Sus scrofa: one gene and its partner. The protein of the gene in region 1 interacts with the protein of each later gene in a pairwise test. Links are inferred from orthologs where the notes say so. Each region holds a gene or a part of one and is shown in the gene's direction. Other genes may lie near its edges.

Evidence for each region.
Region 2: the proteins of TRIM38 (region 1) and RFC5 interact in binary tests that used the Homo sapiens proteins (3 or more experiments, as listed by UniProt). The link is inferred for Sus scrofa from reciprocal best matches to the Homo sapiens genes TRIM38 and RFC5.

The regions. Positions count from the first base shown.
Region 1 is NC_010449.5:20,681,037-20,685,548, forward strand, and holds the start of TRIM38 (E3 ubiquitin-protein ligase TRIM38), read left to right. Parts: upstream 1-1,499; 5' UTR 1,500-1,719; intron 1,720-3,385; 5' UTR 3,386-3,530; coding exon 3,531-3,941; intron 3,942-4,512. UniProt on the Homo sapiens protein: E3 ubiquitin-protein and E3 SUMO-protein ligase that acts as a regulator of innate immunity. Acts as a negative regulator of type I interferon IFN-beta production by catalyzing 'Lys-48'-linked polyubiquitination of AZI2/NAP1, leading to its degradation.
Region 2 is NC_010456.5:34,639,778-34,644,339, reverse strand, and holds the start of RFC5 (replication factor C subunit 5), read left to right. Parts: upstream 1-1,741; 5' UTR 1,742-1,877; coding exon 1,878-1,942; intron 1,943-3,670; coding exon 3,671-3,735; intron 3,736-4,296; coding exon 4,297-4,433; intron 4,434-4,562. UniProt on the Homo sapiens protein: Subunit of the replication factor C (RFC) complex which acts during elongation of primed DNA templates by DNA polymerases delta and epsilon, and is necessary for ATP-dependent loading of proliferating cell nuclear antigen (PCNA) onto primed DNA.

The DNA.
Region 1 (4,512 bases):
AACAAGTCTCTGCACAAAGGCTCACCTACATCCTTCTCGCCTTCAAGACCCACAGCTCTCTGTGTGAACCAGTCCCTCCTTCATGCAACGGAAACAGGTACAAGATGGGGCAGCTGTCACAGGACAGATGCTGGCATGAGGTTGATGCTTTGGTCTTGTTGTCATTGCCTGTTGGTAGCAGTAGTTTGTTTACTCGGTGGCATTCACTAGCTTCCTTTTCTTGATCCTTTGACAGGACACATTTGGGATGAGCTGGGTCCAGAGTCGCATCCACAACAATGAAAGTCGTGCGAATCTGCACAGAGTCTGCATTGGGTCAGGATTCGGGGTCTCATTCTTTCTCTTCCGTCTGCATGCTGGCTGCCTTGGGAGTAGATGTGTCCTGTACCATGTGTGGGGCCAGCTACCACAGGACATGCCAGGGCACTGTGAGTCACCTGGTGGCAAAACGGCCAAAGGCTCTGTGAACAGCCAGGAGGATGCAGTGCTGAAGAGAGACTCCTGTTTGGGTGGGAAGAGAGGAAGCTGTTTCACAATTTTGCCTCCAGCCTGAGCTGCTGAACCAGCAGGACTGTGGCTGCATCAAGTTCCCCCCAGTCTCCAGCTGCAGGTCCAATGCCCTTAGCACAGACCATGAACTTCCAGGGTCAGCAACTGACCCACCCAGCCAGGGGCCCAGGACCCAGAGTTCATCCCAGGCAGCTCTCAGAATCCAAACTTAACTTCTCCTGCCTGTGTCCTTAGCCATCCTTACTGGCTCCCCTGGGCCACTGCATGTATTTATTTCCTAAGCAAACACTGTGCACTTATCACAAATACCTCTTACACCTAAGGTTATGCATGTGGCAAGGTCTTATTTTGAGTTAGTTTTTTCACATTAAATAATAACTCTAAATTGGGTGGGCCCAGTATTTTTGCTTCTATTTTGAACTGGAGAGGCTGGAGCTGAGGCACTAAGTACTCAACCCTAGACCCCCAGAGAGCACTGAGCAATGCTCCCAGCTCACATGGCTCTCAGCTGAGGCCACTAACTGCTGGGCCATTAGTGGTTCCGTTTGCTGTCCTTGGTGCCCAACTCTGACTGTTGATAAGGATGAGAATCTTTCACAGGGACACTGAGGAGGCAGATGAGACAGGGTATCAGGGCAAAGAATGGGAGACTGCCTGGAGAAATTTTCTGCCATCAATGAGCCCCATTATGGTACCACCCCTTTTTTTTCACCACATCCTTCAGAGCAGTTATAAAACAACAAGCAGCCTAAAAATAGCAAAACGTAACATCAGCCAGGGAGGTTATGAATCCCAAGGGGTTTGGTGGCAAAAGCAGAAAGATCTCAAGTCAGAGTCTGTGAACTCTGCAGACTTCCTGGGTTTAGATCCTCTGTGCTAGAGTCACAAAAGAACTTCCTGAATTACCAATCCATCCCTTTTACTGCTGTAAAAAAAAAAAAAAAAAAAAAAAAAATTTCTTTAGCATCTCCCCTCCCTTTCAGCATAAGCAGAGTGCAAAAGAGATGGGCACATTTTCACTGGTTTCCTCCTCAGCTGGGCAGAGCTCCGCCTCCCACAGTAGTTTCACTTCTGAGTTTCTGTAGCCTGCGTGAACTTCCTGGCTGCTACGGAGGGATCTAGCAGAGAGTGTGTGACTATCTGTGGTGACGGGAGTGGAAAAGGTCCAGGCCCAGGTTTTCTTGGCGGAGGGCTAGGAGACATGTGCATGTGAGTGTGTGGTGGTGGGCGGCCGCGGGGTGGGTAGGGGTTGTTTTCTGAGAACAGAGCCTGCTGGAACTCTGAAAATGGCCAGGCCTTGGCTTCAGAGCTCTCACACCCTGTCTGCTTTCTCCTTTCCCACCCTCCACATCCAGTCTCAGAAGATCCAGGGTGTGAGGTGAGTGAAGGCCCAAGACAGGCACCCTTGGGCCTCAGAGGAGGGGAGGTAGGTCCTTCTCCCCAGGAGCACAGTATCCCTGGCAGAGAGGAGCCTAGTGGACCTTCTGGGCGAGATAACCTGCCAAAGAACAGATGTCTCTGGAAGAAATTCTCTGTGGCTCCATGAGCCCGGTTCTACTTATTAGAGGGAAATGGCCTCTCCAGTAACTTTGGCTGAATCCCTGCTCTTAATTCTGGTACTGTCACTTCAAAAGAAAGGTCACTCTCTAAACTTCCTCCAGCCTCCACTGCCCTCCCTGACCAACTGCCAGGAGTAGGCAAGCAGGGAGCAGGGCTGGGGTCCCGAAGCAGCTGCAGCAGTGGGTAAAGGGCTGACTTCTTCACTCCTGTTCCCTCCTCCAAAGTCTCTGGGTTGTCGGGTCCTCATTGAAGGACACCAGGGGTCCAGCACCCAGGGTCCCACAGAGGCCCTACCTTCCCCATCTGCTTCCTATGTCCCCACATCCTGGCTTCTGCAAACTCCCGTGCTCCAGTCACCCTGCAGTTCTCCTGAGAGTCAGGTCCTGCTCTGGAGAAGCAACAGTTAACCTCCCTAGCTCTCCAGGAACTCTGCTACCCATAACCAACCCCTTCTCTTCCCCCTTTTTTTTCTTTTTAGGGACGCATCCCCGGCATATGGAAGCTCCCAGGCTAGGGATTGAATTGGAGCTGCAGCTGCCTGCCTAGGCCACAGCCACAGCAATGCAGAATCTGAGCTGCGTCTGCAAACTATACCACAGCTCATGGCAACGCCAAATCCTTAACCCACTGAGTGAGGCCAGGGATCGGACCCATACCCTCATGGATACTAGTTGTGTTCTTAACCTGCTGAGCCACAAACGGAACTCCCCCAGCTTTTTCTAATTCTCTTTCTGTCAGGTCAGGGAGGGCTAATAGAGTTCCCTGGTTCTTCTGGATGTCTTTTTTACTTTCACTATCATCCTGATTGTGTCTCCACTGGGGATTTTATTAAGCTGGTGTCTATGGTTCTTTGTGGGTAAGAGTGGGAGTTTAATTAGAGTCAAATTGGATTGTTTCAATGGAATCTTCATAGACCACCCAGTTACCTAAGTGTCATTACCAGTTACAAAGAAATAATTCTGGTACTAGTTATTCTCAACCTTTATTAGAGTGGGAAAGAGTCTGACAGTCCCTCACTGAGTTCTCTCTCTTGCTGCAACTTTGCTGAGGAGGCCTACCTTGTCTCTCTCTCTCAGCACTTAGTCCAAGAAAACTTTTCACAATGATGGAATGTTCCATATCTGGGCTATCTTAGCTATCCATCACCTGCAGCTATTAAATAACTGAAATGTGGCTAGTGGGTGTGAGAAAGGAATTTTTAATTCTATTTAATTGTAATTAATTTAAATAGCCACAGGTAATAATGGCTACCATACTCCACAACAAAGCTACATTGTACACATTTTCTAAATTCCAATCTATTCCTTTTCTCTAGAAAGAAGACCTCATGACCTGTGGAGGCCAGTGGTAGCCAGTGCATCACAGAGGCTCAGGTGAGGTAATTTCTGAACATGGTGGGAAAATTCTGGCTGCTTCTTCTCTGCCTCTAAATCCAATATTGGAGCTTTTCAGGAAAAGCCATGGCCTCAACCACAACCACCAGGAAGATGAGGGAGGAAGCCACTTGCTCCATCTGCCTGCACCTCATGTCTAAGCCGGTGAGCATCAGCTGTGGACACAGCTACTGCCACTCGTGCATTGTGAACTTCTTTGAGAATCTCTGCCGAATGCAGCCATGGCTGGAGACATTCTCCTGTCCCCAGTGTCGGGTGCCATTTAAAATGTCAAGCCTCCGACCCAACGTGCAGCTGGGAGGCCTCATTGAAGCCATCAAGGAGATGGACCAGGAAATGTCATGTGAGGAACATGGAGAGAAGCTCCATCTGTTCTGTGAGAATGAAGGCAAGCTCATCTGCTGGCGCTGTGATCGGGGACCACAGCACAGAGGGCACGCCACAACTCTGGTGGAAGACGCGTGCCAAGGCTACAAGGTAAGTGGTGGGCCAGAGGGGTTTGGCAAGTACCTGGCCTCATGTTGCCCCTCACCCCACTCTGAGACCTGAGATTATTTAGCCTGAAACCCAAGATCAGGATCCTAGAATAAAGTTTTCATCATGTCATTCTTATGAGGGGTCCTCACTGAATCTGGTCCTAATGGTCTATCCTGACCGGAATGGTCAGACTCTTGTCCCTAGCCAGTCTCACTTTGATGACCTTCTCCCTGCCCTGATTGCCATGTGCTCCAACACCCACATGCATGTCCTATTGCCTCACACTCTGTATGTAATCTGGGAAACCACAATGTACAAGACCATGGGATAGAGTCTGAAAACACAGGGGACAAAGACACCACCTTGTAGGTAACCTATAGTTTAGTAGGAAAGACAAACCAACACAAAGGCTGCCTGGAGTCCCCTGGTTTGGCTGATTTGGAATGGGGCAATTTCCCCAAAAGTGACTCCAGAAGAACACATAAAAATTAACCACATATAGAAGTGTGGAGAAGAGAGAGGGGATTCCAGACAGAGGGGCTCACATGTGCAAAGGCCCAGCCCTGGGAGT
Region 2 (4,562 bases), on another chromosome or scaffold:
TCTACTCAATCTACCAATTCAAATGCCAATCTCTTCCAGAAACACTCTCAGAGTCTTACCCCAAAAATAATGTTCACCAGCTCAATGGGCATCACTTAGCCCAGTCAAGTTGACACATAAAATTAACTCTCCAAGGCATAGTCACACCCACCAGTTGTTTAGGTTTTATTTGAAAGAAAATATCTGCGACAAGAGCAGGATGGTGGAGAGCCTGCTGGAAGGGGAGGAGAGAGGAAGGTGGAATGCACTGGATGCTTACTTAGATTATTTCATCTAATCCTTACAACCATCTTGGAGTAGATATGATGAGGATGAGGAGAGAAGTAACCTGCCCAGAATTTAGAGGAAAAAAGTTGCATCCTGGCAATCTGCACAGCCATTGTTAGGAGGAAGCAGAGATTAGGGCACTGTCATATCACAAGCCACATCTGACCCCCTTTCTCTGACTCCTCAAGTAGGGGCCAGGGTGAAGCCATAAATGCCATTGTATATTTGCCCACTGTCCCTCTACTCTGCTCCTAAAACAGGCCGCAGTGAAGGAGTAAGATGCCCAAAGCAGCTAATTCTCAATCAGAACACTTTTTTTTCTTTTTTTCTTTTTAGGGCCACACTTGCTGCATATGGAAGTTTCCAGGCTGGGAGTCGATTGGGAGCTGGAGCTGCAGGTCTTCCCATAGCCAGAGCAATGACAGATCCTAGCTGAATCTGCAACATACACCATAGTTCACAGCATCTCGGGATCCCTAACACACTGAGCAAGGCCAAGGATCAAACCCGCTTCCTCATGGATACTAGTCACGTTCATTACTGCTGAGCCACAATGGGAACTCCCTGAATCAGAACAATTCTGATCCCAGGCCACTCATCTCTTCCCAGAACTGTTGTCTTTTGCAACATGTTTTTTGTTTTGTTTTTGGCTGCACCCGCAGCATATGGAAGTTCCCAGGCCAGGAATCGAACCTGAGTGGCCACAGAGACAATACTCAATCCTTAACCCTCTGCCCCACAGTGGGAACTCCTCCACACGTTTTTAAAAAACTTTATTATGAATGTAATACACACTCATTTCTGGGAAATACAGACCAGCAAAATAGAAGAAAACAAAATCCCCTCACCTCAGAAAAAAATACTAGCATTTTGATATGAGATCAAAGGGACCCTGTCCTGTATGTTTACTAACTAGGCCTTTCTAGTTATACAAGTTAATCTAACCGGAGTGATTTACCTATTTATTTGTTCATTCCTGGAGGTCGGTTCTGTAAATTTCGTTGGGCGAGGGACATAGGTCTGGGAGACAGAATGGAGTTGTTTGTAATTGTTTTCCAATTTGAAGTACTTCACCTCCCAGCTCTGGGGCCAAAAGTATTTCGAGTCTTTTTTCATACTGTATCTATATTCAAGAACTGGCCTTGTCAATTGGGAGTGGTTTTTCCTCAGGATTTTTTGCGCTGGCAGCTTTCTGTGCCTTTGAACAGTAAGTGTTTGAACTTAGTTTATGGCTGCAATTGGCTTTGGCTGTGAGACTTTAATTCGTAATGACGATAGGCGGCCGCAGCGGGTGGTCTGCCCTCTCCTGCTCCCTGTCCCCCTAGGCTCAGAACCGCGTCAGAGACAGCACAACTCGAGCTAGGAGGTCGGAGTCGGAGCTAGGCGGGCTGCGGGCACCTCTAGTAACCCGGCAACGGGGGCCTTAGCAACGGGGAGGGGGCGGGACCAACGGAGGAAGTCGGAAGCAGGCAGCTAAATATCGCGACACTTACTTTTGCGCGCGAACTCTAAGCTCTAGGGTCGCGGGGCCAGGTTCGCGGTTGCTCGCGGGGCAGGCCCCTGAGGGACGAGACGGCGTCACTGGACCTGGACACCTTCATCACCCCATCATGCAGACCTCAGCGCACAAGCAGCAGCAGCAGCCCGAGGCAACCAAGATCAGGAACCTGCCCTGGTAGGTCGAGGACCGTTTGCCGCAGGCAAGGGGGTGGGCCGCGCGGGGAGGCGGAGGCCGGAGTGGTCAAGGGGCTGGTCCTCAGCCCGACCTCGCCCCGCCGCCCACAGACTTGCGCGCCTTAACACCCTCAACTTCCCAGTCACGCTCCATTCTATTTAGAACTTTTCCCAGCTGCCCTCACCCCGCACCCCCATGTCTCATACTGGCCCTCTTTCCTGTTGCCAGAAGACTGAGTGACAACACAGGGCTTCGATCCCGTGTCTCCCAGACTTTGCACTGGCCTCCGTGGCAAAATGTTCTCTCTTGCCAAAATATTCTCTCCATGCGATTACTGGTCAAATTCTAAACTAGAAGATTAATAGTACCAGTGCTGGAGTTCCCATAGTGGCACAGCAGAAACAAATCTAACTAGTATCCATAAGGACGCAGGTTTTCATCCATGGCCTCGCTCAGTGGGTTAAGGAACCCGCGTTGTGGTGAGCTGTGGTGTAGGTCGCAGATGCTGCTCGGATCCTGCGTTGATGTGGCTGTCCCCTGCGCTGGCAGCTGCAGCTCTCATTGACCCCTAGCCTGGGAATTAACATATTCCCATGGTGCGGCCCTAAAAAAGACCAAAAAAAAAAAAAAAAAAAAAAAGTCCCCTAGTTAAGTTTTCTTTAGATGATTTTGTCAGATTAGCGGGCACCCTATTACAGTTTGACCTTTACAAAGACCCTACGAAGTAGGTACTGTTAATCCCCGTTTTACCAAAAGGTTAAATGACTTGCCTAAGGTCCAGAGTTGGGAAATAGGTTTGGATTTGAACCAGGTGGTCCAGATTCAGAACTTGCACTTTTAACCATCCTACTTCTACAACTCATGGTTTAAAGACTGATGGGATTTGGCTTGACTTCAGAAAACTCAAATTTCTTTTGTTTCCAATAACAAGTTATGTTTGGTTTTAGTCATAATAAAATACATAACATAAAATTTACACTTGTAACAATTTTAAACTGTACAATTAGGTGGCATTAAGTACATTCAGAATGTTGTGTAACCATCCTACTGTCATCACCCCCAAGTGACTCCATACCCACTGGCAGTGGCTCCCCATTCCCCACTCCTTCATCTCCTGGCAACCACTAATCTTCTGTCTGTGAATTTGCTTGTTCTGAATATTTCATATAAATGGAATCAAACAATAAATGGCCTTTCGTGACTGGCTTTTTTCTTATATCAGCAGCTCATTTCCTTTTATTGCCAAATAATATTCCATTGTATGGATATACCACCATTTTTTTAAATCCATTCATCTGTTGATTTATATTTGGATATGAGTTCAATTTTGGATTAACTTTAGATACCCATCCATGTTGAGGTTTTAGGCAGACATCTGGAAAGGTGAAATTAGAGCAGTTTTTCAACACTACTGATATTTTGGGCCAGATGTTTGGAGTTGAGGGAGGGCATGGGAGTTATCTTGTGCATTGTATGATGTTTAACAACATCCCTGGTGCCTATCCACTAGACGCCAGTAGCATCCTTCACCCAATTGTGACAGTGGAAAATGTCTCCAGGTATTATCAGGAGTTTGCTGGAGGACAAAATTGCCCCTGGTGAGAACCACTGGGTTAAAGGATTTTGTGTCTCTTCCTCTTTTAGTTAGGATATGAAAGGATTCTTTTGCATGTAACAAGATATTCTTGTATTTATATATGTTGTAATCTATGCTAAATTGTATTTCAGGGTTGAAAAATACCGGCCACAGACACTGGATGATCTCATTTCTCATCAGGACATTCTGAGTACTAGTAAGTATCTATGTGTCAGTTGCTGGTATCCTAGCTGCAGGACCTAGGAATGTTGTCTCTGCTGAGTAATAACTTTGAAGAATCTGACTGAGCTTTATAGGATGTGGCTTTAACAACTGAGTCAGATTTTTCCTTTTTTTTTTTTTTTTTTTTTTTTCTTTTTTTTTCTTTTTTCTTTTTTGGTCTTTTCTAGGGCTGCACCTGCAGCACATGGAGGCTCCCAGGCTAGGGGTCTAATCGGAGCTGTAGCCGCCGGCCTACACCACAGCCACAGCAACGTGGGATCTGAGCCGAGTCTACGACCTACACCACAGCTCACGGCAACACCAGATCCTTAACTACTGAGCGAAGCCAGGGATTGAACCCGAAACCTCATGGTTCCTAGTTGGACTCATTAACCACTGAGCTACGACGGGAACTCCCTGAGTCAGATTTTTCATTCCTAAACCTGCCCCAGCTTTGAACATAGGACTGAAGTGCACTCAGCCCAACTCAAGGGCCCACGGTGAATGAGGCACCTCTCAGAGACTGACAGTGTCTCTCTTTTTCCCCAATCTTCAGTTCAGAAGTTTATCAGTGAGGACCGCCTTCCGCACCTCCTTCTCTATGGTCCTCCAGGCACGGGAAAGACATCCACCATCCTGGCCTGTGCTAAACAGCTGTACAAAGATAAGGAATTCGGCTCCATGGTCTTGGAGGTAAATGGGAGGATTACTCTTATTCTCTAAGGACTCCAGTCTCTTTTAATTCTGCTAGTTTTTTGTTTGTTTGTTTTTTTCAGGGCAGCACCTGCAGTACATGGAAGTTTCCAGGCTAGGGATCCATTC